6 linked regions of the Danio rerio genome follow. The protein of the gene in region 6 purifies or fractionates together with the protein of the main gene of each other region. This does not show direct contact. Links are inferred from orthologs where the notes say so. Each region holds a gene or a part of one and is shown on either strand. Other genes may lie near its edges.

Evidence for each region.
Region 1: the proteins of fbl (region 6) and nolc1 fractionate together in Homo sapiens (co-fractionation; 3 studies listed by BioGRID, with this or other methods). This does not show direct contact. The link is inferred for Danio rerio from reciprocal best matches to the Homo sapiens genes FBL and NOLC1.
Region 2: the proteins of fbl (region 6) and nop58 purify together in Homo sapiens (affinity purification with mass spectrometry; 7 studies listed by BioGRID and IntAct, counting the BioPlex papers as one, with this or other methods). This does not show direct contact. The link is inferred for Danio rerio from reciprocal best matches to the Homo sapiens genes FBL and NOP58.
Region 3: the proteins of fbl (region 6) and sirt7 purify together in Homo sapiens (affinity purification with mass spectrometry; 3 studies listed by BioGRID, with this or other methods). This does not show direct contact. The link is inferred for Danio rerio from reciprocal best matches to the Homo sapiens genes FBL and SIRT7.
Region 4: the proteins of fbl (region 6) and larp7 purify together in Homo sapiens (affinity purification with mass spectrometry; 3 studies listed by BioGRID and IntAct, counting the BioPlex papers as one, with this or other methods). This does not show direct contact. The link is inferred for Danio rerio from reciprocal best matches to the Homo sapiens genes FBL and LARP7.
Region 5: the proteins of fbl (region 6) and rrp9 purify together in Homo sapiens (affinity purification with mass spectrometry; 3 studies listed by BioGRID and IntAct, counting the BioPlex papers as one, with this or other methods). This does not show direct contact. The link is inferred for Danio rerio from reciprocal best matches to the Homo sapiens genes FBL and RRP9.

Annotation. Positions count from the first base shown.
Region 1 is NC_133188.1:4,947,783-4,951,816, forward strand, and holds the start of nolc1 (nucleolar and coiled-body phosphoprotein 1), read right to left. Parts: upstream 2,801-4,034; 5' UTR 2,786-2,800; coding exon 2,675-2,785; intron 409-2,674; coding exon 353-408; intron 1-352. UniProt on the Homo sapiens protein: Nucleolar protein that acts as a regulator of RNA polymerase I by connecting RNA polymerase I with enzymes responsible for ribosomal processing and modification.
Region 2 is NC_133181.1:10,596,748-10,600,247, reverse strand, and holds part of nop58 (nucleolar protein 58), read left to right. Parts: exon of another isoform or gene 1-59; intron 60-135; coding exon 136-260; intron 261-327; exon of another isoform or gene 328-410; intron 411-1,432; coding exon 1,433-1,569; intron 1,570-1,759; coding exon 1,760-1,824; intron 1,825-1,926; coding exon 1,927-2,061; intron 2,062-2,802; coding exon 2,803-2,948; intron 2,949-3,064; coding exon 3,065-3,191; intron 3,192-3,500. UniProt on the Homo sapiens protein: Required for the biogenesis of box C/D snoRNAs such as U3, U8 and U14 snoRNAs. Part of the small subunit (SSU) processome, first precursor of the small eukaryotic ribosomal subunit.
Region 3 is NC_133197.1:41,135,129-41,139,074, reverse strand, and holds the start of sirt7 (NAD-dependent protein deacetylase sirtuin-7), read right to left. Parts: upstream 2,801-3,946; 5' UTR 2,789-2,800; coding exon 2,684-2,788; exon of another isoform or gene 2,331-2,683; coding exon of another isoform or gene 2,319-2,330; intron 572-2,318; coding exon 434-571; intron 1-433. UniProt on the Homo sapiens protein: NAD-dependent protein-lysine deacylase that can act both as a deacetylase or deacylase (desuccinylase, depropionylase, deglutarylase and dedecanoylase), depending on the context. Specifically mediates deacetylation of histone H3 at 'Lys-18' (H3K18Ac).
Region 4 is NC_133182.1:62,360,976-62,365,247, forward strand, and holds the start of larp7 (la-related protein 7), read right to left. Parts: upstream 2,801-4,272; 5' UTR 2,745-2,800; coding exon 2,728-2,744; intron 2,724-2,727; exon of another isoform or gene 2,600-2,723; coding exon of another isoform or gene 2,583-2,599; intron 2,446-2,582; coding exon 2,237-2,445; intron 2,153-2,236; coding exon 2,052-2,152; intron 1,948-2,051; coding exon 1,864-1,947; intron 1,771-1,863; coding exon 1,606-1,770; intron 191-1,605; coding exon 94-190; intron 1-93. UniProt on the Homo sapiens protein: RNA-binding protein that specifically binds distinct small nuclear RNA (snRNAs) and regulates their processing and function.
Region 5 is NC_133186.1:38,619,024-38,622,523, reverse strand, and holds part of rrp9 (U3 small nucleolar RNA-interacting protein 2), read left to right. Parts: intron 1-889; coding exon 890-982; intron 983-1,094; coding exon 1,095-1,195; intron 1,196-3,500. UniProt on the Homo sapiens protein: Component of a nucleolar small nuclear ribonucleoprotein particle (snoRNP) thought to participate in the processing and modification of pre-ribosomal RNA (pre-rRNA).
Region 6 is NC_133191.1:46,606,246-46,610,266, forward strand, and holds the start of fbl (rRNA 2'-O-methyltransferase fibrillarin), read right to left. Parts: upstream 2,801-4,021; 5' UTR 2,709-2,800; coding exon 2,699-2,708; intron 988-2,698; coding exon 880-987; intron 1-879.

The sequences.
Region 1 (4,034 bases), on a different chromosome or scaffold from region 6:
ACATTCTTTTGGACAACTGCAGATATATTAAATAGTTAACACAAAAATGCGCAAAGAGAGACTTTCACTTCACGCATTGTGAATGAACAGACTTGCGTGTACTAGTTGCAGACACAATCATGAGGCTTTTTTTGCACCAAGTTTGAAATAGTCAATAAGCGAACAGGAGAAAGTGCATTACTTCAGTCATTTAATATAGCATATTAATAGTAAAATCCTGAAATTCTAGTATAATATTGAGTTACGTTTCGTGGCCCACCTGCAGGATCCCTGAGGCCCACCGGTTGAGAATCCCTGGGCTAGATCGAGGTACAGAGATCATAGTAATAATGAAGACACAACATATACATACTTGACCCAGAAATTGAAGATGTCCATAAGACTGTCCTCATTTTGGTCTTGAGGTTTCTGATGAAAACAAAAAGTTGATTGCAATTTATATTGAGTGTATCAAAAAAAAAAATTTGAAGAACTTAAATATTAAACATTTAATACATGAAATGTAAACATTGTGTTAAACTGAGGTTAAGTTGGTTTTACACATTTTACACATCACACATTCGTTTATTTTTAACAGCGATAACTTGACACATTGTTTACCATACTATTCGGTCTAAAATAGCATGCAAGTATGACTTCAAATCAACGTTAGCACCATTTAACTGACTGTGAACGGTGTTGATAGTAGTTGGCTGCTAATATGATTTTTGAAAGCATGAATGTGCGGATATAAAAACCAACTTCACCTCAAATATTATCAATAATGTAAGAGAGTTTGAAGCAGACTTCTCTGTGGTGACATAACACATTGATTAATTTACTACACTTATTTTACATATTAGCTCTGTTGTTCAATTTTATTGAACCAGAGGTGTCCAAACTCGGTCCTGGAGGGACAATGTCCTACATATTTTAGTTCTAACCCCAATTAAACAGACCTGAACCAGCTAATCAAGCTCTTTTTCTAGAAATAAGTTACTACAAACTTCCAGTCAGATGTGTTGAAGCAAGTTGAAGCTAAACTATGCAGGACATCGACCCTCCAGGACCGAATTTGGACATCCCTGGTTTAAACAATTACAATTCATAAATCATGATCAAACCATGGAAAAACAATGACTCTCCAGCTGAGGTAAAGTTGGCTTTATATTCGCACTTTCGTTTATTTTTGAAGAGTGAACACTTTTGACACGGTCTTTATATTGTTTACCATGCTACTCTGAATATTTGGTCTGAAATAGCATGCAAGTATGACTAAAACACCACAAGCGAAAAAATAATGTTTTATCAGAATCCTATGACAAATTATATTTCCTTGTTTTATAGCAAATTAGTCAATGGCTCTAAAGAAACATCAGAATCTAAGAAAGATTCTTGGTGTACAGATTTACAATTTGACCTGACAGATTTAGAATGGAGCCAAATGTGTTAAAGCCCAGAACTTGTCAATTATACTAGATTTAAAATGATCCAATATAACTGGGCAATGCGCACTTATATCACACCTGAACAACTAAACAAGTTTAACCCAAACATCCCAGATATACATTTCAAATGCTAAAAACATAAAGGAACATTCTTTCATTGTATCTGGGAATGCGAGTTGATTAAGAATTTCTGGCAAAATGTAATAACATTAATTTCATCAATTATTTTAAAACCAATATATGCGCTTTGGGTTTATTTCCTGTAGGTTTGTCATTATCAGGTTATAAAACTAAAATGATTGATATGTGTCTTGTTATTGCAAGGCGTTTGATAGCACTCTATTGGAAGAACACAGAAAGTCCATCGATTGATCACTGGCTAAAAGATTTGACACATTACATTGCACTGGAAAGAATAACCTACAGTATAAAAGGCAAATTAAAGGAGTACCATAAAATTTGGGATCTGTTTATACAATTTTTGGAACATAACTATACAATGGCACAATCAAATACCTCTCACACTATTGATTAATTGATTGACATGTGTATTTTTATTTGTGGAATACAGTATGTTTTTCTTTACCTTAGCCCATGTAACGTTATACCAATACATCTACCTGCTATACTGAACGTGGATGCTTTGGGGGTGGGAAGGGGGAAGTGTAAAAAAATATATTAAAAAAAAAAACAAGTGTATTTTCATGTTAAATTTCAAGTGTTTTTCTCCAATAAAAAAATGTTTAAAAAAAACAACCAAAGCACTAGTTACTTAACTGTGAAAATGCTGTACTTTCAATGGGAAATCATATTAGGAGCCAATGACTACTTAGAATTTGTTAAGTATTATTTTCTGAAATTATATCATTGAGGAGATATTCTGAATGTGCGAATATAAAAACCAACTTTACCCAAATACATCACTTTATTACTCTAGTATATGCAGTCCAGACAAGACTGAACCTGCTGAGAACCCGAAGCCCATCTTCAGTGAATCAAATTCAGTTTTTACAAAGAAAAAAAGGTTGCATGTACAAAAACGCTTAGCTGTGTTATAACAGGGTAAAATGACACAACGACCGGCAGAAATGAAACCTTATTTAACACATAATCTACAGCAGCTCGTAAACACGTGTCCCGCACTAACTGCGACTCGCTCCCACGCGTGTGCAGAAAAAAACCGAGCTAAGCGTTAACAACCTCCACGCGCGTGACCACTCCAAACAAACAACTGAAGCAACTCTTACCACTTTAGCCTGCCTCAAAAACTCCTTCGCGGCTTTGGCGAACTTGTTTTCCACGAGAAACGAGTACACATGTTGGTAGAGATCGCTAGGCACCGTGCTGTCCTCCGCCATCTTCGTTGCACTCACGTGGAGGAGGAGCGCGATAGGTTATTTCATCGTCACGTGGAGGCTCGGAAAATGGCGCACAATAAGTGCGTCATGCTAAACATGCTATTTTAGACACTTCATTGTATCATTAATGTAGCTTTATTGTATCAGAGATCTAAAATGCTACTAAGAATGCAATTTAAGGTACATTTTTATTGAAAGACTTCCTTCAAATCGGCTCAGATGTCACTTTGGTTTTAAATGTTTTGATCTACATGAATTGGAAAATGTTAATACCTCTCTTATCCATTTTTATTAAAATCCCCAAAATTAAGTTAGTTAACTTTACTTGTCCCCGTAGGGAAATTTCATGCAGCATACACTTAGAGACATTTCACATTTATATAAATAAATCGTATAAAACATTGTACCCTACTCTAAATAAATATCCAGTCTACTAGCCCTCAAGGAATTTCAAAACTTAATTGCTTGAGGTACAAATTATAATTTTGTCCTGTTTCTCAAAATATCTGAGAACACAATATTGATGACTTGATGGTAACAAAGGATGCCTCTCATCATTGACAATCATGACAGCCTTCCCTGCTGAAAAATCCAGCTTAAACCAGCCTAGGCTGGTTGGCTGGTTTTAGCTGGTCGACCAGGCTGGTTTTAGAGGGGTTTTGGCCACTTCCAGGCTGGTTTCCAGCCATTTCCAGCCTGGTCTTAGCTGGTCAGGCTGGGAGATGACCAGCTAAAACCAGCTTGACCAGTCAAGCCAAGCTGGGAGTCCAACCAAAACCAGCTATGTCCAGCTTAAACCAGGCTGGTCAAGCTGGTTTTAGCTGGATTTGGCTGGTTATTTTCCAGCCTGACCAGCTAAGACCAGGGTGGAAATGGCTGGAAACCAGCCTGGAAATGGCCAAAACCCCTCTAAAACCAGGCTGGTCAACCAGCTAAAACCAGCCAACCAGCCTAGGCTGGTTTAAGCTGGATTTTTCAGCAGGGTTATTTAGTACTCTTTCTTTGTATATACTATTAATGCTCTTTAGTTATATTCCCAACAACGTACTGGCTGTTTTTACTTCCCCAGTTACCTCCTCTGGGCTGCAGAAGCAACATATCACACAAAATGTTGTAATACTTTCAATAAAATCGCTATAAAACATGATCAACAATGTTTTGTCAACATTAAAAGACAATAGTTTCTTTAAGAAGTACATTACCTGTTGAATTGTTTTCCTTATACAGTAATGTCCAACATCACACCCAA
Region 2 (3,500 bases), on a different chromosome or scaffold from region 6:
CAATTCAACCATGAGGTCACCAAACAGTTATTCGTCACTACCACTGAGACCACAATTATCTTACTCTTAATGTATATAGTGCAAGACAAAACAGATATAAGAGTATTCACTTTCAAAATCCTTGTGCATCTTCAGCGGCCACAGCCATGGTGGAGGGCAAACTGGGGAAAAGTCTGAAGAAAGTTCTGAAGAAGGTTGTGGCCAAAGAGGCTCACGAGCAGCTGGCCATCACTGACGCTAAACTGGGAGGAGTCATTAAGGTAAGCTGCAGGATTTCAGGTTTTAATGTGCTGAAATGATACTGCAGATATTTGGACTGTGAGAAACAACAAGCTGTGATGATGATGACCATGCGTCATTTTGCTGAAAAATCATGAGGCTTTTTTGTCACTACCTCATCTGAGCTTGTTTATTTCTCAAGGAGTCATTTATTAAAGTTAATTTTTTTTATCCTATTACTTTAGATCCTTTTAGTTTGTTTTACACCACCTAATATCACCATATTCAGGCTGTTAATTACTTTTTCAACTGCCTGTTAACATTTATGTGAGTAAATATATTCAGTTTGAATGCACCGTAAATATGCTGGCTTCCACAATTAGTTTGTGTTGGGACAAAATGAAATGAATAGTCTTTACAAATTTAGGTGGATTGAAGAAAACAGTAAGGTTTGCCCTAAGAATCGTTGTTTCAGTTCATTTTAAATGAGTAGTTTGAACACACAGCATATGTTTCAGAATATCTTTACCTACAAATCACTTAAAACATGTCATACATTTGGACTATTTTGTGCTAATTTTTAAAAATGATCTAAGTAAATAGATTTTTGGAATGCATTGGGAGGGTTAAGCAGTAGAACGGACACTGGTTCAGTTTCAATATTACCACTCTTGTGCACTGTAATGGGATATGCACATGGTATTTTCAGTAAACCAGCTCAATCCCTTCTGATGAACTTTTGTTCTGCCACTACAAAATAGCCACATTAAAGATTTGGGTTTTATTTTTGTTTTGTTTTTTTCCCCCAAAACTCTGATGTTCCATGCCTGACTAAGACACAATATGAAGTGGGTCTAAGACTGAACAAGCAGGACTGCGTTATTTCAGTTATTCTGTGCCATGTCTTTAAAATAGGAGTATATATTTTGACAGTATTTTCAATGGTATTTTAGTGATCGTCTGCTGATCCTCATGGTGCCTTCATCTCGTTTTGCGCCTGAAGAACTAAATCAATAAGATTAGTAAGCTGATTATAAGTTAATTACATTACATCAGTAATGTTGTAAAAGGGAACTGTTTGAAATTAAAAATAGTCAAATTATCCTTTTACCTGATATTTATAGGTGGCTGTAAAGCACTAGCTTTGCTTATACCACATTGCTTTAGGACAACCTTTTCTGTGTCCACTGAGACTCTCTGTCGCCCCCTGCAGGAAAAGCTAAACCTGAGCTGCGTGCACAGTCCTGCCGTCGCTGAGCTCATGAGGGGCATCAGAAACCAGATGGAGGGGCTCATCACAGGTCTTCCTGCCAGAGAGATTGCTGCCATGTCTTTGGGTTTAGCTCACAGGTTAGTTTATAGTTTACACTTGATCGAATGCACTCTATGCTCATGTCGATGATTATTTTGTGCTGACTGACTTTTCTGACGATATTCTTCAGCCTTCGTCACTACCACTGAGACTCTGAGCAGATATTCATTTTTCTTTACATATGCAAGGTTTGTTCAGCAATTGACTGGTTTTCATTGCATCTTCTAGTCTTTCACGTTACAAGCTGAAGTTTAGCCCAGATAAGGTGGACACCATGATTGTTCAAGCAATCTGTAAGAAACATCTTTATTTACATACTATTAATTAGTATAAGTTGGCCTTTTTTATAGATGAAGTTTTTTAATGAAATGTACACTTCACTTTTTCACCTGCAGCTCTGCTGGATGATCTGGATAAGGAGCTCAATAACTACATCATGCGCTGCAGGGAATGGTACGGCTGGCACTTTCCAGAGATTGGCAAGATCATCACAGATAACCTGGCATACTGCAAGACTGTCCGCAAGATTGGTTAGTTCTTCCAGCAAAAGCATCCATATTTCGGTTTTCCTTACAAAGTGTGTTGTGCATGTGAAAGGTGTGTGAGTCACACCGATAATACAAATTAAATATAAATATACAAGTTAGAGAATTAAAATCAAATTAGATTTTAAAAAAATTAAGTTTGCTCATTTTATGCAAGTCCAAACTCATCTTAAAGGTAAATTAAAGCTGAAAGATTTATGTCCCTGAATTGTATGTTTTATCCTGACGTTTCAAAACTTTAGGAGATCAGAAATCTAAATTATCCTAGGATGAGTTTTAACTAAATGTTTTCTGGCATAACACACATGCTTTATATGATTAAACTGTATTTCTGGCTTACATTCACATTAAAACAAACAGAAGCTTAGCCATACCGGTTTGTTGTGTGAGCAAACTTACCAGAACTTCTCATCAAATTTGAATGGTGTAAACATTGTCCCCTGGTGTTTATATGTGTGTTAAAGACTAAATTATTTCTATACATCATAAATAGCCATCGCATTTCTTTTGAAGACTTCAATCTAAAAGCTAATTTTATTGTGATTCATTGTTTATAAGTATAAGAGTATTTATAAAGCATCAGTTTTGGAAGAGACTTTTTGTAGAGTGGCTGCAATCTTTAGATTCAATTAATATCCTCATATTCTGCTATCTGAATAATGAATTGACAGCTAAAGCTAAGGTTTTCAATGATAAAATGTTGTCTTTTTTTCATTCATTGTTTAGGTGATCGGACAAATGTGGCGACGACAGAGCTGTCTGAGTTTCTGCCAGAGGAGATTGAGGCGGAGGTGAAGCTGGCTGCAGAGATCTCGATGGGCACAGAGGTGTCTGAGGAGGACATTGCTAACATCATGCACCTGTGTGACCAGGTGTGTTAAACAACAGTTTGGCTGAAGCATCTTGAGTTTATATTGGTTTGCAGGATTAACTGTTTTTATCAATAGTTAATCTGTAGTTGATTCATATTTTTCCTCTCTACTTCCAGGTTATTGAAATATCAGAGTACCGCACACAGCTGTATGATTATCTGAAGAATCGCATGATGGCGATTGCACCAAATCTCACAGTCATGGTGGGAGAATTGGTGGGAGCCCGTCTCATTTCTCATGCAGGTGAGCTCTGGATAGCTGAAGAAAATTAGGTGTAACATTTGATACATTCTGTTTTTCATGACTGGATTGTGATTGGTACAATATGCTTTTTTGGGGGGTAATTGGTTTTCATTTAGAGTTTCAGAGATCCAATTGAAGATAAATGGAGTTACTGTTAACTAAATCTACAAGTTATTCTAAACTCCTCAATATGTCCAGTCTTCCTGAGCAAGCAATTGTAGGTTTGTAACAAATCTGCCTAAAACTTATTGAGTTCCTTAGTTGTATGTGAGGTTGTATGTGTATATGAAACTCATTTAAGTAGCTGGG
Region 3 (3,946 bases), on a different chromosome or scaffold from region 6:
TTAGTTAATGAAAATTCAGTTGTGGATTTGTTACTTCACATTAACTAATGTTGACAAACACAAATGTGGATGTCTATAATGCATGAGTACATGGTTGAGTTATGAATAATAAATGTTGTACAAATATCGTTCATAAGTTCATGTTAGTAAATACATTAACAAGCATTACCTAATGAAACCAAGACTTTTTATAACTAAAACTAATAAAAGAAAAGTGCAAAAATAAAAGTGAAATGAACAGTGCTTCATGGCTTTCTGGGGAGTCTGACGGTATTCAAATACATAAATTAAACAATCAAACGTAAAATAACATGGTCTTTATTATATGAATGATTTATTCAGCAATATTTAATCATATATTTTAATGTTAAACTATTGTAGACACACATATTATAATATAATGTTCAGCGTTAGTTTACAGCACACTCTGTACCTCCTCTTGTTTCCTCTTGAGCAGGTGTCTGCGGTTCTGTCGTCGGCTCAGCTCCTGCACGGTGTCCTGATGCGCCTGCAGCATCGACCGCTCCTCCTCTGTCCACTCAGACTCACACTTCTGGAGGATCTTCGAGATCTGGAACAATCAGTTTGTTCTTATTTTTAATTTTTGCAAGTTTGGTCCTCCATAGATATTATTAACTCAAGACAGATTACTGTAAAGCTGCTGAAATTAAATATAGGAGCCATGTTATTAAGGGTCTAATGGTAAAATTCACATTGTATTAGTCACATACACAGTCATGCATCATATGACATGCAGGGAAATGCTTACAGGACATATGACCAATACTGTACATTATCTGTCCATCAAAATACAAATACAGTGAATAAATAGTGTTTCATCCCAAAAATGTCTAAAATGGGCTTGATTTCAGTTATTCTGATTTTTGTTGTTTATTAAAAACACTTTAGAAATTTACTAACCCTGTCCTTGTCGTCAGCCCAAATAAACCTACAGAATTAATAGATTTGTTATGCTAAAAACTGTTATTTAGAAAAAAAATAGTTGTTATTTAGTTATTTACTTATTATGATTCCCTTCAACTGAAATTATAAATAACCTTTATACAAATTTATAACACAATTAAATGTACAATTGTCCTGTGTTTCGGTCAGTCCTGTCACATTTGCATTCAATTTAACATAACATGTGTGGACGGCAACACAGTGGCGCAGTAGGTAGTGCTGTCACCTCACAGCAAGAAAGCCACTGGTTTGAGTCTCAGCTGGGCCAGTTGGCGTTTCTGTGTGGAGTTTGCATGTTCTCCCCGTGTTGGCGTGGGTTTCCTTCGGGTGCTCCGGTTTACCCAACAGTCCAAACACATGCGCTATAGGGGAACTGGGTAGGTTAAATTGGCCTCAGTGTATGAGTGTGTATGGGTGTTTCCCAGAGATGGGTTGCAGCTGGAAGGGCATCCGCTGTGTAAAACATATGCTGGATAAGTTGGCGGTTCATTCTGCTGTGGCGACCCCTGATTAATAAAAGGACTAACAGAAAATGGATGAATAAAATGTGTGCAATACACCTCCTAAGCTCTGGTACCGGTCCGTCAAGTCATTTACTTCAGAACTCTTTCAATTTTAAAGGTTTGTACTGGCCCAATACACCCATTAGTGGTTCCGTTCTCTCGTCAGTTTGAATAACTTTTGCATAGATTATGGTAGAAACCTCTCGACAAGTCAACATCAGGGCTAAAATCCTGCAGTCTGAACTCGGCATTACTCAACCACTCATGACCTTAAACATAATGACAATAATAATAATAATAATAATAATAATAATAATAAGAATAAGAATAATAATAAGAATAGAAATTATGAGAAGTAGAGGTTATGCAACAGAAAATAAAAGCAAATATAATATATTTGAAGACTTTAGATATAGAGTATGTGGCTGTAGAAAAGGGCACAAGTATAAACATGTAGAGGAGCTATCATTATCATTATATTCTGTACAAACAGAAACAGAAGTGTTTCAAACAAAGTGCCCGGTGCACAGAGGAGGAGTGTGACCTAAACACCTCCATTATAAATATAATCAAACCCATTCCATAGAGCTAAAGTTGCTTTTATATTCAGACATTCAGACCTTCTCTTTAATAATATCATGTCAGGAAAGTGTTGTTTGCAAATTCTAAAGAAGGAAACCACATTAGCAGCTATTAATGATCACAGTACAGCATTGATCAGTCTACCAGATAGTGTTCATGTTGCTTTCAAGTCACACTGGCATGCTAATACTGACTGAATATTCAAGGAAACATGGTAAACAATATAGAGACTTCTTAATGGACGAATGTGCGAATATAAACCAACTCTACCTCAGTACCCATTCAGTCTTCTGTGGTGGTCTCCTGTTGTTTTGTTTGTTTATTTCAGCAGGATGAATATCAAATATGGGTTATTTTCTTACAACTGGTCCTTTAACCCTCATAAAGAGATATTGAACCAAATATGAGGGCAAATCCCTATTTAGCACAGTAAACCGCGTCTTTACAGGTTGTACAGTCTGCCTCATCTTGACTGACCATCAGCTTCCCTACTGTAATTACGCTAGTGATAGATCCTGTGGTTACCATGGGAATGAGGGGCAACGGCTGATTAGCACCGGCTGTATGGCTTTAATTGTGTACCACATCGCAGATTCAGTTCATATGAATATGGATTATTTGTAATGTTTTCATACCGTCTTCATAGTCTGCCGTTGTTTCTCTCGCTGGATTATTTTGGCCTTTTCTTGCTCTTTTCTCTCTGCTCGAGCAGAAACGCCGCTGTTTATCCGCACGTCCATGTTGGATATCGCAGATGACGTCACAGACTGCTCGCGGTCTTATCGCGAGGAAAAGCGGGAGACAAACGAGAAGAAGAAATGTAAAGTCAAATAATAGTGGGAAATATTTGTTTATTTGTCTCTTCGCACTACTGTTTTGCTCAATGAATTGTTGCTTAAATTATTTAAGTAGTAGGCAAAGGTAATCAACAATGTCGTAGCCTTAGCTGCTCTCAACAGTAGGTGGCGGTAAAGCAGTGTGAGCCGGTGTCATGCACATATGAAGAAGAGCGCTTTCCGCTTTGTGTGTCGTGCTGATTTAAACACGTCCAGCTTCACTTTTCCTCAATTAATTTGCTTTTTTCACAATGTCCATAAAGTTAAATGCTCTTTTCAGCGACTCCTATGTTGATGTGAGCCAGTACAGGGATCAGCATTTTAAGGTGAGTGTAAAATGCGCGATGTTTAATTGTGTTCAGCTGTTTTCTTTGTATTTTTAATGTCTTTCTCCTTAGTTTAATCGCATTATTTGTTTGTTTATTTGTTTTTGCAGGTAAACATTTATGTTAATGTTGTTGTTGAAATTGATTTACTGTTTATATTTCTACCACATGCTTTATCTAAAGGTATAAGTTGTATTAGAGTTTGTTTATGGCTGAGAGCAGAAACACTGAGCTGTACTTCAGTCTAATAATAAGTTTTGTCATTGGTATGCTTTGGATATGCCACTTTGCTTAACACCACAAGGTTTTACCTATTTTATCAGCAAAATGTTTGTAATAAAGTCTATTTAAATATGATATGATCACTAATGTGTTTATCCATTGTAATGAGTACAGGTCTGAATGAGTGTAATTGTAGATTTTCATTAATTGATCTTTTTTTTAAACCTATAAAGATTTCAATCATATTTGCCTTTTTATTAATATTTTTATTTACTTATTTATTTTATTAATATTATTATTTTGTTTCATCATTATCATAAACATTGTTACACTTACAGTTCCTTAAAAAAGACGAGTAAATTAAATAATACAATTGTGATTTATATTTGCAGCAGTGTTTGCACATACACTACCACACTAAAGTTAGGAATCTGCAAGATTTAAAGTTTTATTTTGGAAAGATGAATCTTAGTATTAGACCGTTCTTATGTCCACAAACTTTATAACCAAAAAC
Region 4 (4,272 bases), on a different chromosome or scaffold from region 6:
GACATCAACTGGCCACTGCCCTCTTTTACATTAAAATATTGTCAAATTAATTTAGGCAGTATTTTCAAAATACATAAGGCATATCAATGTTACCCTGTGTGACAGCATCAAAAGGGACAGCCTTTTTCCTACAAGTCTTTGGGAAGATTCCTGGCTTCCTTGGAGCATCTTCTGGAGGATTGTTCAGCATCTGTCATTTTAAATCATAAATAAATAAACAATTAAAAAAATAATAAAATAGAATAAAATAATAATAATAATAATAATAAACCAAAAATATGATAAACATAAAAATAAAAAAATGGGTGTGTATACCCAAAGCTAGCAACTTGGTGTTTGTATTTACATTATCTTTTCTGTATTTAATAACAATGAGCCCTATCATACACCCGGCGCAATGTGGCACAAGGCCTGACGCAATTGTTGTTTGCTAGTTTAAGCTTTGGCACAAGAGTCGTTTTGAAGTTTTCCGCCACGCTGTTTAAATAGCAAATGCATTTGCGCTCATATGTGCGCCCATAGGTGTTCTGGTCTAAAAAGGAAGGCGCGTTGAGGCTCATTGCTGGCACGTTGCTATTTTGAGTAACTATAATAGTCTGTTCTATAGACCAGAACAAAGCCGGTCCATTGTCCAGCTCAGAATGCGTTAGTTGTGCGCCTCACTTACACATTGCTTAATACACACAAGATGTAGAGCAATACGCAAATATCTTTACATATGAAAAAGAATTAAAGTACTAAGGATATATAAATAGGATATATTGAGGATATAAATATAAGATAAAAATATAAAGGATTAAAATATTACAAAACATATTATATTCTAGCCCACATAAATATAAAAACCATACTTCCATGCATGCCTTCTTCATCTCGGGAGGCTTCTTTAGTTCATTCATGACTATTTGCTTTTGTGCAATGTTATTATTATTAGCTGTATTATTTATTATATGTATATTTATATTTGTTTTATTAAAAACAAGCTTAGATTTATCCACCTGTCAAGTTTTAGGCCATATGGGGCATAGCATGTGTATTAGGATATAATTCAGTTGTTTGAACACACTTTGTTAATATTGTTCATTTATTCATTTGCTGGAAATTAGAACTGAATTAAGAAATAGTTTTGAAACAAATCATTGCGTTTAATGAACAAAACTAATTATTTATAGGCTAATTGATGTCTGTGCATACAAGGTTTACGATCCACGAGAGCAAAAGTGAAAGTCGATAATGAGAAGGTCTTATCTCTTATTCTTATGCTGCAGACGCTCTGTTTAACTGTTTTCTTGCTAGTAAAATGCTCAGTTTTTCCTCTTACTTTACGTCATGTAAATAGCAAATGCGCTATGGCGCGATGCAACTGAATATTACAGGGAATGGGAGATGAGACTCTGATTGCTTTATTCTCAAAACACACCATAACTCCTTGAGAAAATAAGCTTAAGACCATGCGCCATGGCGCAAATCGGGTTTTTCCATTCTTATATTAGAAAAAGTGGATTCTGACACGCCCCTAATGCGTTTGCGCCCTGTGCTTTGCACTTTGATCGTCAAAATAGAGCCCAATAAATTATATAAAATATTAAAGTTATCAACAGTTACCTCAACAGCTTTTTGTGCTTGCTCTTGCGTCTCAAACTCCACAAATGCAAATCCTTTAGAATGCCTTGTGGACTTGTACCTGGGGATACTAATATAAACCACATGTCCACATTTGCTAAACACTCGCTCCAGCCAAATGTGAGTGACTGTCTTTGGCAACAGCTCCTAAAACACAATTTCAATTTTAAGAGAATACACATTGAAATGACACATACAGTATGCTAGCATTATTATGTATACTTATTTGTAGTAATTTACCACATAAACTGTGCGACTGTCCACATCTTTTGGGGTTTCACCAAGTGGTTCCTTTCGTCGTATACGAGTTCCCTCATCATTAACCTAAGCACACCACAGCTGTGTTACAGTTGCTAACAAAGTAAGTGGATAATTCTGAAATAAAATTCATTTTATAAAGGACAAGAAATTGTCAAACCAAATCATACCTCTACTATTGTTGAGTTTTTAAGAGCCCTGGCTATCAATTTGACATCTGCAGTTAGGTTTTTCATTCGGTTAAACGTTGTCAGGACGGCAATGTCAATATCTGCAATATATAAAATGTTAAGTGAAATATGTACGAATGATGGGTATCCTGACAGATAATCATACAATTAATAAAGTTACATACATCCATCTCGTGATTGCTCAATGATACTCTTCATGAATCTGTCCTTGTGAAGATTCACATCACCAAACCAAAATTCCACCTGCTTCTTCACATCAGACAGCAGCTGTTTCACCCGGGATCTCTTCTTTTTCTCGTTATCTTTTTTCTCACTCAAGTCTGCACAGGCGGTGTCCCCGACAGAAGACATCTTCTCTGTGTCTATCGTCTTGCTATGGTTGAATCAAAGTCATAAAATTATATATCTGAAATTGAATAACAATTACGTCGAGCTGGGTATCCGTTTCACATTTCTGTCTTAACATTCCCGCTCTCCCAGTTAACTTAAATAATAATCACTTAACATTACCGTTGACACACTTTCATCCAGTTATTACTTTACTAAAATAACACACATCACCAATTTATATGGTCATACTATTATTGTAAGATACTTTTATAGCAGAACACTAATAAACTTAGTTCAAAGCAAATCGTTCGTTTACGAATTTTACCAATGCCGACGACTCATTTTCTTTAATAGCTGCTGCTGCTGCTGCTGCTGCTGCTTCTTCTTCTTCTTCTTCTGGATTCTACCGACAGCTTGCACCTTTTTGTCCAACTACTGCCATCTTTTGTTGTTATATGTCATAGCAGGGATTGCTAAAGGGAATTTGATATATCGCCCTCCGAAGATAAATACAAACCCACAGAGCACAGACGTTTCAGAACCCACAATCCCCATTCCTGAGAACATTCCTATTTTTACTAAGTTGCTTTTTTAATCCTTACCTTGATTATCCTTAGTTTTTACACTTACAAAGTCCACCAATAGCAAATGTGCCATGGTGCGACCAATGACTGTAAGGGTGCAACCAAGCGGCCATAGATATATACACTAGATATCGCATAGGGACCCTGATCATGCGTCAATAGCGCCGCCACATTGGTGCAGTGCTCCTAGGACAAATGTCATTCAACCGCACTTGTCAAGACAGTATTATTACGTGAAGATGCGGGACTTTAGCGCTGTCTACGGGTGTAGTAACGAGCAAACGAAAACAAAGCACAAAGGCAGAAGATTTCATAGGTAAGATTAAGTTTTTACGTTTTTGTATGTTATGAACTTTTGTGCTAAACAGGTAACGTTATTGATGATAATCAATCACTTAACGTTACTGCATTCACCATAAGGCAAAGTAGCTCCAATTCGCACTAAATACTCGGCTTATGCTAGTTTTGTTGAATAAAATCAGCAAACAATGCAAAAGAAATATGACAACGAGATGAGTCGTTCATAAGGGAAATTCATTCACAAACGAATCGCTCCCTCCGTATGAGTAGTAAAAGCAGGAGAGGAGGTGTGTTTCAGGGCACGGATTAGATCAAATTTAACAAGGAGGGTAGATTGTACATTTCCGAATACACAAACACAAGCTTTTTGTCAGGAATGCCAATGCGATCACTGATCCATCAATGTAGAAAAGTGATGTAAAATGATAATTTCGTAATTTAAAAATTAATTTGCATACTAACATCCAGGAAAACTCCCGATCATAGATATATGTGTAGATCTCTGGCTTTGGATGGCCACAGTCCTCCACCACTGTACCTTGGTCCCGCATTTATTTCAAAGGAGCGCTACCCTGTTCCAAAATGGCGGCATTCTTTTCAATAGACAACAACAGGGTAGGCGACATTTAATGTATATATCTATGCCAAGCGGCAACCTCCCGCTTTCCCTCGATATCCCTGGATAAATTTATATTTATTACTTTTTTTATTTATTAATTAATAGTTATTTGATTTTACTGCTAAATTTTGGTTTAAAAACAATATTGCTTACTATAGATTACTACAGTATTTAATGTGGTAAATCATTTATTAAAAAGTTATTAAAAAAATAAGAAAATAAACACTATTAAATCGCTTGAGTAAAATATTAATTTAGTGTTATACATTTGTTACATGTAAAAAGATTTTTATTACATATAAAATGTATTATTGCCGATATTAACTTGCTACTTCCTTCATTAAATGAATCCGTTATATAAATTAAA
Region 5 (3,500 bases), on a different chromosome or scaffold from region 6:
CAGAAATCATATTTTACTATGAGTATTGAAGAGTTCAGTGACAAAAGTGAAAAATGTAAAGATTGTGGTTATCTGTTTTTTCCAATGAGCTTCTTATATACTTATAGATGAAATTACTTTTTTTTTTTTTTTACTTTCAAACATTAAACCATACAGCTATAGATTCTTTTTTAGGGTGTCCATGGGGTCTTAATGTCTTAAATCTCAAAAGCTTAAGTTTTAGGCCTTAAAGTCTTACATTTACTGAAATTTTGTGTTATGTCTTAAATCTTTTTTTAAACAGGTCCTAATTTTCCTTTGTTCATGTATTGCTACCCAATCTGACCATTAACACTCATAAAATCACCAACAATCCATCTCAATAATATTAAATTATAATAATTTTTTGATAGGGCACCCCATCTGAAATTTGAAAAATTCCTTAGCGTTTAGCTCTTAAAGAGCCTAACATTTCATTTGTATTGTTCTTAAAAATTTCTTAAAGTCTTAAACTTAGCAGAAACCCTGTTTATACTCTTAATACTTTGATTTCAAATTCATCTATTTTTGGACTACAAGCTTTTAAATCTTTCACTTTACAAATTGCTGTTTTGTGTTTTCAAATGCTCAAGTCACTTAAACTCTTAGCATTTAGAGAGATGGAGATATATGGATAATATTCTGCAAGCACTTATAAGCTGCTCAAGTCAAAAGATTATGGAGAAACATTCAGTGGATCAGATTGCATGTTTATATACACTTACAGTGCAGTTTAAGATTTAATCAGTGCAGACATTCTATCCTGAAATAAATTTACTAATGTTTATTTTAGGCCTGAGAGAGGTAGAGAGTTGGTTTGCTATTTGAGAGATTTCACTGATGTTTACTGATTGTTTTGTGTGTTTCATAGGCTAGCGGGGATATGAATAAACACATCATGATCTGGGATCCAGAGACATGTAAACATTTGTTCAAGTTTACAGGACACAGAGGTGCCATATCGGTGAGTAAACAAATACGAATATGTTTTGAATATGATGAAATGTCTGCCTTATATTTCAGCCCGCACATATTTGATTGAATATGTTTCTCATGCTCTTAAACTTTCTCGGCAGGGTTTGGCTTTTAGACGAGGGACTCATACTCTCTACAGTGCGTCACATGACCGCTCCATTAAAGTGTGGAGTGTGGATGAAAACGCCTATGTAGAAACTCTGTAAGTGCACATGTCGGTGTGTAGATCTGGGTATCAATTCAGATGTGCTGATTTCATTTCAGTTCACAACCTCTTGATTGGATTTATAGAATATAAATTTAACACAAAAGCTGTGTGATGTTGTTGTTAATATTATATCCGATGAATGGATGCATTAAAACTGAATCCAGCTCTGTTTATATTTTAATATTTTTTTTAGATATAAATGCTTGCGCACACGTATAGATATTGATAGATAGATGGATAGATAGATAGATAGATAGATAGATAGATGGATGGATGGATGGATGGATAGTAGGGCTGCACAATATATCACTATAATGGTAAAATTATCATTATCGTGATAATAGTATATGCAAAATAAAGACGTGTGTAATGAATTACATTTATTTTATGCATTGGTTGTTTATCTAAATTTGACCAATCAGATGGAGCCTTGCTATATCCCTACCTCTCTGTTAGTTGCTGTTTTACTATCATATCTGCCTACATTTGTGTTTGAAAATTTGTCGTGGTGGTGGGTGGAAGTTGGGGCGGGGATGGGGGGTGATTTGGAGTAGTTCTGGTGGGAGTGGTGGGGATGTCTAGGTGTCGGGGGTGAGGTTTCTGAATAACACTGCTAAGTAACTGTACTTTGCACCGGGTTTCAGGCAGCCGCTGCAATCGGATACTATACCACAGTCGCTGATCCGGGGTTGTTACAGACTGTACTAAAAAGCTGAGGACTGGAGGGGGTGGGAGTGAAAGAACGGTAGTTTTCTGGGAGAAATAACAAAACAGGAGGGTGGCGGGAGATGGGTCTAAAATAGGGGAGACTCCCAGGAAAAACGGAAGTGTTGGCAGGTATGTCTACTATTGGCTTGAGCAGCCCAAAGGTAAAGCCAGAGCTGAAAATAAACAATAATGACAGGAGTCAAGATGAGAAAGAAAAATAACAACAGCCAGTTACAGTCAGAAATATCTGACTTTCACTCAAGACTAAATGTTTGCACCTTCACCGTTTTTTAGTTTAAATTAGATCTGACAAGTATGTTTGAACTGTTTGTTAATATCTTGCATAAATTATTTAACATAGCTAATATTATAACTTTTTTTGGGAAATTATGTTATAAGTGGTATTGTTAATCGCAATACTCGACCACCTCGCGTATTTTCCAGTATTTTGCAGCCTTATTATACAGACCGAATGCATATGTTAATAAAACTTATCAAAGGTATTCAGCTAAAAGCTCTGAGTAAACATGGATGATGTTTCTGTATTGCTTTTATTTGAGATGTGATTGACTCTACAGGAATATTTTTATAAGGAAAAGTTGCATTGTGGTTCAATTACTGTACACAAAAACTGTTAGGCTATGTTCACCCTGCAAGGTTTAGTGCTCAAATCAAATTTTTTTGCATGGCTGTTCACATTGTTGTTATAGTTAACAGATGTGTAGTGATCCACATGCGCAAAAGCACACTACGGGGGCCACAAAATGTCATATTATAAACACAATGTATAATATACTGTATGAAGCACATTGTCAGATTATGCTTAATATGATTATTACCCTTTTCACAGACAACCGTGGTGTATTTAAGGAACTGTAAAGGGTTGTTCTGCTACTACTAATGTGTATTTCACCATTTAAAACCTAAAATAGGTCTCTTGTGATTGAAAACACTGATCATTTGTGATTTATGACAACCGCGGTGCGCGTCTTTCAGGCCACCGCTGTAATGAGCTCATCAAGGGTTAATGAGCAGCCGCAGACTGAACAGTGAAGGAGTTGGTTTATCTCCGTTTGCAGAGTTATTTCATTTTACATCGTTATAAACAACAGGCACATGCAGAAGGGAGGTTTGGCTGCTTGCCCTTTTTTTTCTCTCGGAGAGAATGTTCGTCCTTAAAATGAAAGTGCCTCTCCTTTGTGCATGGATCCCCTATCCACAACAACCCTCTTCGGCTTTGCTATCAACCCACGCCCCAATTGGTAACCAGATTGGGTAACAAGCACCAGTTTTGCCTTCAAAATATTTTTCAACATGAACAACCACGTTTCTGTGGTGAAGTAATTGCCCGGTGCCATTCTACTACGCTGCAGATTCATTTGGGCCACATTTGGCTGCAGTGTGAACGTAGCCTTAGACTCCCCTGAAGACTGTCAAATAGAGCTATTCAAACCATCTTATGAAACTATTCATATTGCAATACTTATTGCAATACTTGCAAATGATGTAATTTGTATTGTGTATCGGTCTGTTCAAAGTAAAATAAGCCGGAAAGTGAATTTAACTCTTGCAGACCGAATTCTTATATTCT
Region 6 (4,021 bases):
GTGACTGCTGGAGCTCAGCGTTAAGACGCGTGTATAGCCTACACTGCAGCGCATGACAGAGTGTGCTTGTGTGTGTTTGTGGTCATGTTATGTGCGTTTTCAGGGGTATAATGTGGAAGCGCTAGATGAAACGCCAGTTTACATGGATCGTTTTCGTTCTAAAATGCCATTTGTAAACGGGGCCTGAGTGTGTATTTTTTGCGAGCAGATTTGCGACAGGGGTGGAGGATTGTGATGTCTATCGGTCATCGACAATGGATGATGGCATCATCTATCAACCCAACCCTACTTGATAATGTAGATTTTAGACTAAAGCAGCTAATATTAATTTACAATGAGGAAGGGCAGAGGGTTGCTGAAGAACTACTGAGAGATTTCAACTGCTGCCTGGGCTTTCACTGTGGTTCCCTTTCTTCATGTGTTCAATACTTTTTCCCTGCTCACTTCATTTTATTTGGCATAACCTAATTTGTAAACTAATTAGATTTGTTTTACATATATGGATTTTTTGCTTGTTACTAACATCCAGGGAAAGATTCAAGTCAACAGCACCTTTAGAAATACATTTTCCAAAAAAAAAAAAATGGTGATGCGTTCAATGCTTAATATCCACGCTCTATTTATCTATCTATCTTTCAAACCATTGTTAGTGCGAAGGAAATAATCATTTAATATGTAGTATAATTGTAAAATCATTCATCATTTTATAAATTAAGCCAGAGTACTGTTTTTTTATAAAATACACTTTGCTAAAATGTAATACGATTTTCTACACATTTAAAATCACTTTTAAATTCTTTTTTAAAAAAAGCCATAAGGCACATGCAATATATATATATATATGGGAGTAAAATAAAACTGCTTTAATATCCTGCTTACCAAAACCACCCCTGCCTCCTCGAAATCCTCCTCTTCCTCCGCGGTCTCCTCCGCCTCGTCCCCTTCCACCAAATCCTCCACGACCACCACCTCCCCTTGGGCTGAATCCTGAAGAGAAATATTACTTTGATGAAGGGAAAGAGCAAAACATTTAAAAGAAAAGGAGAAAAAACGCATTTGTGGATCATACTATTACTAAACCAGTTTAAAGTTGCAAGTGACTCCTTACAATAACCAGAAAAACATTTTTTATAGTTTCTTGTTTTCACCGGGTGGTATGGTAGAGCACATTTTTAACTTTGCACTGTCCGAAGTACCAAAAACAAGTCTGCTGTACTGCATTTATGGAAACTTTTAATAAATCAAAATTGCATTCACACAAATTTATGAAATCCATTAGTAACCACATTTGGGCCTGAAGACATACAAAAACAAAACATTCATTTTGTAAAAAGCTAAAACTTTCCAAATGCTTAAAAAGCCTCAAAATATTAACTTTTTTTAATGGTTACATTTGTAGCATATATATTTGGTACAGAACCAATTAAAAGAAGTTACTTTTCATTTCGTGTCATTTTAGAATGAATTACTATTAGGTGTCAAAAACGTTTCGTAAAAAATATAAAAGTTTAGTCAGAATCCATATAAAAACTTTAATCCATATAAAATCAATTAAATCCATATTAAAAAATTTAGTCTATCTTTAATATTTAATATAAAAAATAATTGCAAAAACCTTTTCTGCATTCACTCAATGAACAGCTGCTGTTCAGACAACATGGTTTTAGTTGATGTTTCATAAATACAAAATAACCCTTCTCTTGGCAAATAAGAAGTCGAATGTCATGATATTAGAGCGCTAAATGACAGCATTAAGAGGGTTAAATGATTGAAAAAGTTTATATTCACACATTCATTCAGTGACAACTTGTGACATGTTTCCTATATTGTTTACTATAACGTTTGTACTTTTAATATTCGGTCTGAAATTACAAGCAAGTATGACTCGAATACATTGACACTGTATTTGACTGTAAATAACACAAGCACTACGCATTTAACTGTGAGCAATATTGTACTTTGATAGTCACTCGCTGCTAAAATGATTTCATTATTTAGAATTTGCAAATAATATTTTTGAGAAAGTCCCTGTGTGTGAATGTAAAACTAACTTTACCTCAAGTCCATGTGAATATACCCCACTTTTGGAGACCACACAACAAACAACAGTTACATCTCGCTCAAAATACATTCTGTTTTGGGTGTATTTATGTCTTTGTTCATCCACAACAACAAAACTACTTATTGTACAAGAGGAAAAAACGTGTATTCCTCTAACGTTACTTCTAATAACTCGACAACGCACAAACTCAAATGTACAAAAAGTTGAATAAAGTTACACAAAACTCACCATTTAAAATAAAACACATTAACTAGACAACTAGTTTCAGAAACAAAAGCAAACTGGTTATTATCTCTAACTAGTTAAAAGCCATGTGGGGCTTCAGCACCGCGTGTAACAGCATGGCTCGGTCGCACGCACGTGCAGCGTTGTAACATGTGTAACGTTATTTACATGTACAAAAATAACGTTATTTACAACAAAATCACTTTTTAACAATTCTACACCAAAGCTTGTAATAAATTAAATAACAATGCCATGACATTTAAAGAGAACGAGCGTTTCTTTCACAAAACTGCAAGTGCGTGGCTAACTCATCCGGCTAACTCTAAACCAACACTTATAAACAGCGTTACTTGGATTATATTTTATAGCGTTGACTTTAGCTTTTAAAATCGAAATGTGTACATAACTTACCTGGTCTCATTTTATCTTATTTTGTGCGGTTGTTTTAACTGTACGAATAGCTGGCGTTAACTCAGACCCGCTTTTCCTCCGGTCTACTGCTGCACTGATCAGGTGGCCACATGTGCGTCGAACGTCTTTACCCACAATGCACTTGAAAAAAAGTCGTGATTTTACTCGTTGTTTCGCCATCTAGCGGGAAACATTGCAGCTACAATCATGAATCTGCTGCCTTCATGAGCCCTTTCAGTTCAATTCCCAGAGACTTTTCGGCTATTTGCTACTAAATGGTGAGGACTAACGATAAAATCAACAACACTACTAATACAATCTAATATAGGCTAGTTTTCTGCTTAAATTAATACACAGCGGATGCCCTTCCAGCTGCAACCCAGTACAGGGAAACATCAATATACACACTCAAACTCGACCACCCGGAGGAAACCCACAGGGAACACGGGGAGAACATGCAAACTCCAGAACTGACCCAACCGGGACTCGAACCAGCGACCTTTTTGCTGTGAAGGGACAGCGCTACAGCCACTGTGCCACCATCGGTTTATTCCATATTGTAAAAAGTTCCCTTATATTATTCCATTGTCTTTCAAGGTATACAGGTGAAGTATGATTTTAAGATTTTATCCGGGTCTTACAAACTGGATGACTGCTCTCTAAAAAAAGTTGAGTTATTTATTTAACCCAATTGTTGAGTTAAAAATTTTTAGTACTTAGTTGGGTTATATTTAACCTTTATTTAATCATTCATGAATAACTCAACTAGTTGGGTTAAATGCTTGGTGCCTTGTTGGGTTATTTATTTATTTATTTTTTGGTTATTTATTTAATAACTCAACTAATTGGGTGTAAAGATGCAATTCAAATTAAATGAAATATATTTTCTAACTTAAATGAATACAAATGTATGAGTGTACATTTAGGTAATGTATAGGTACAGTTAAAGAAATCTTATAAAATGTATCTTAAATAAATCTTAGTCTTATCTTAAATCCCTCACTCATCATTGTGTTGTCCACTCGTAGGCTCAAGGCATATCTTTGTTTTTAAGTCTATTCTGGGTTTATTCCCCTCATATCTATAAACTTACATTTGTAAAAAAAAAACAAAAAAAAAAAACTCTCTAGCTATAGTCTTTGGCCTCAGGAAGTGTATTTGGGCCATTTCTTCAACTACTGGCACTTTTAGCCTTGTAAAGTTGAGTAAAAAAATGGTTAAAAATTATCGTAACATAGCCACATAAGTTTAAACAGTTTGTCTAGTTTTACGATCTGTAAGAGGACCAACTTAGATAAGAAGAGAAACATTTTTTCATGGTGA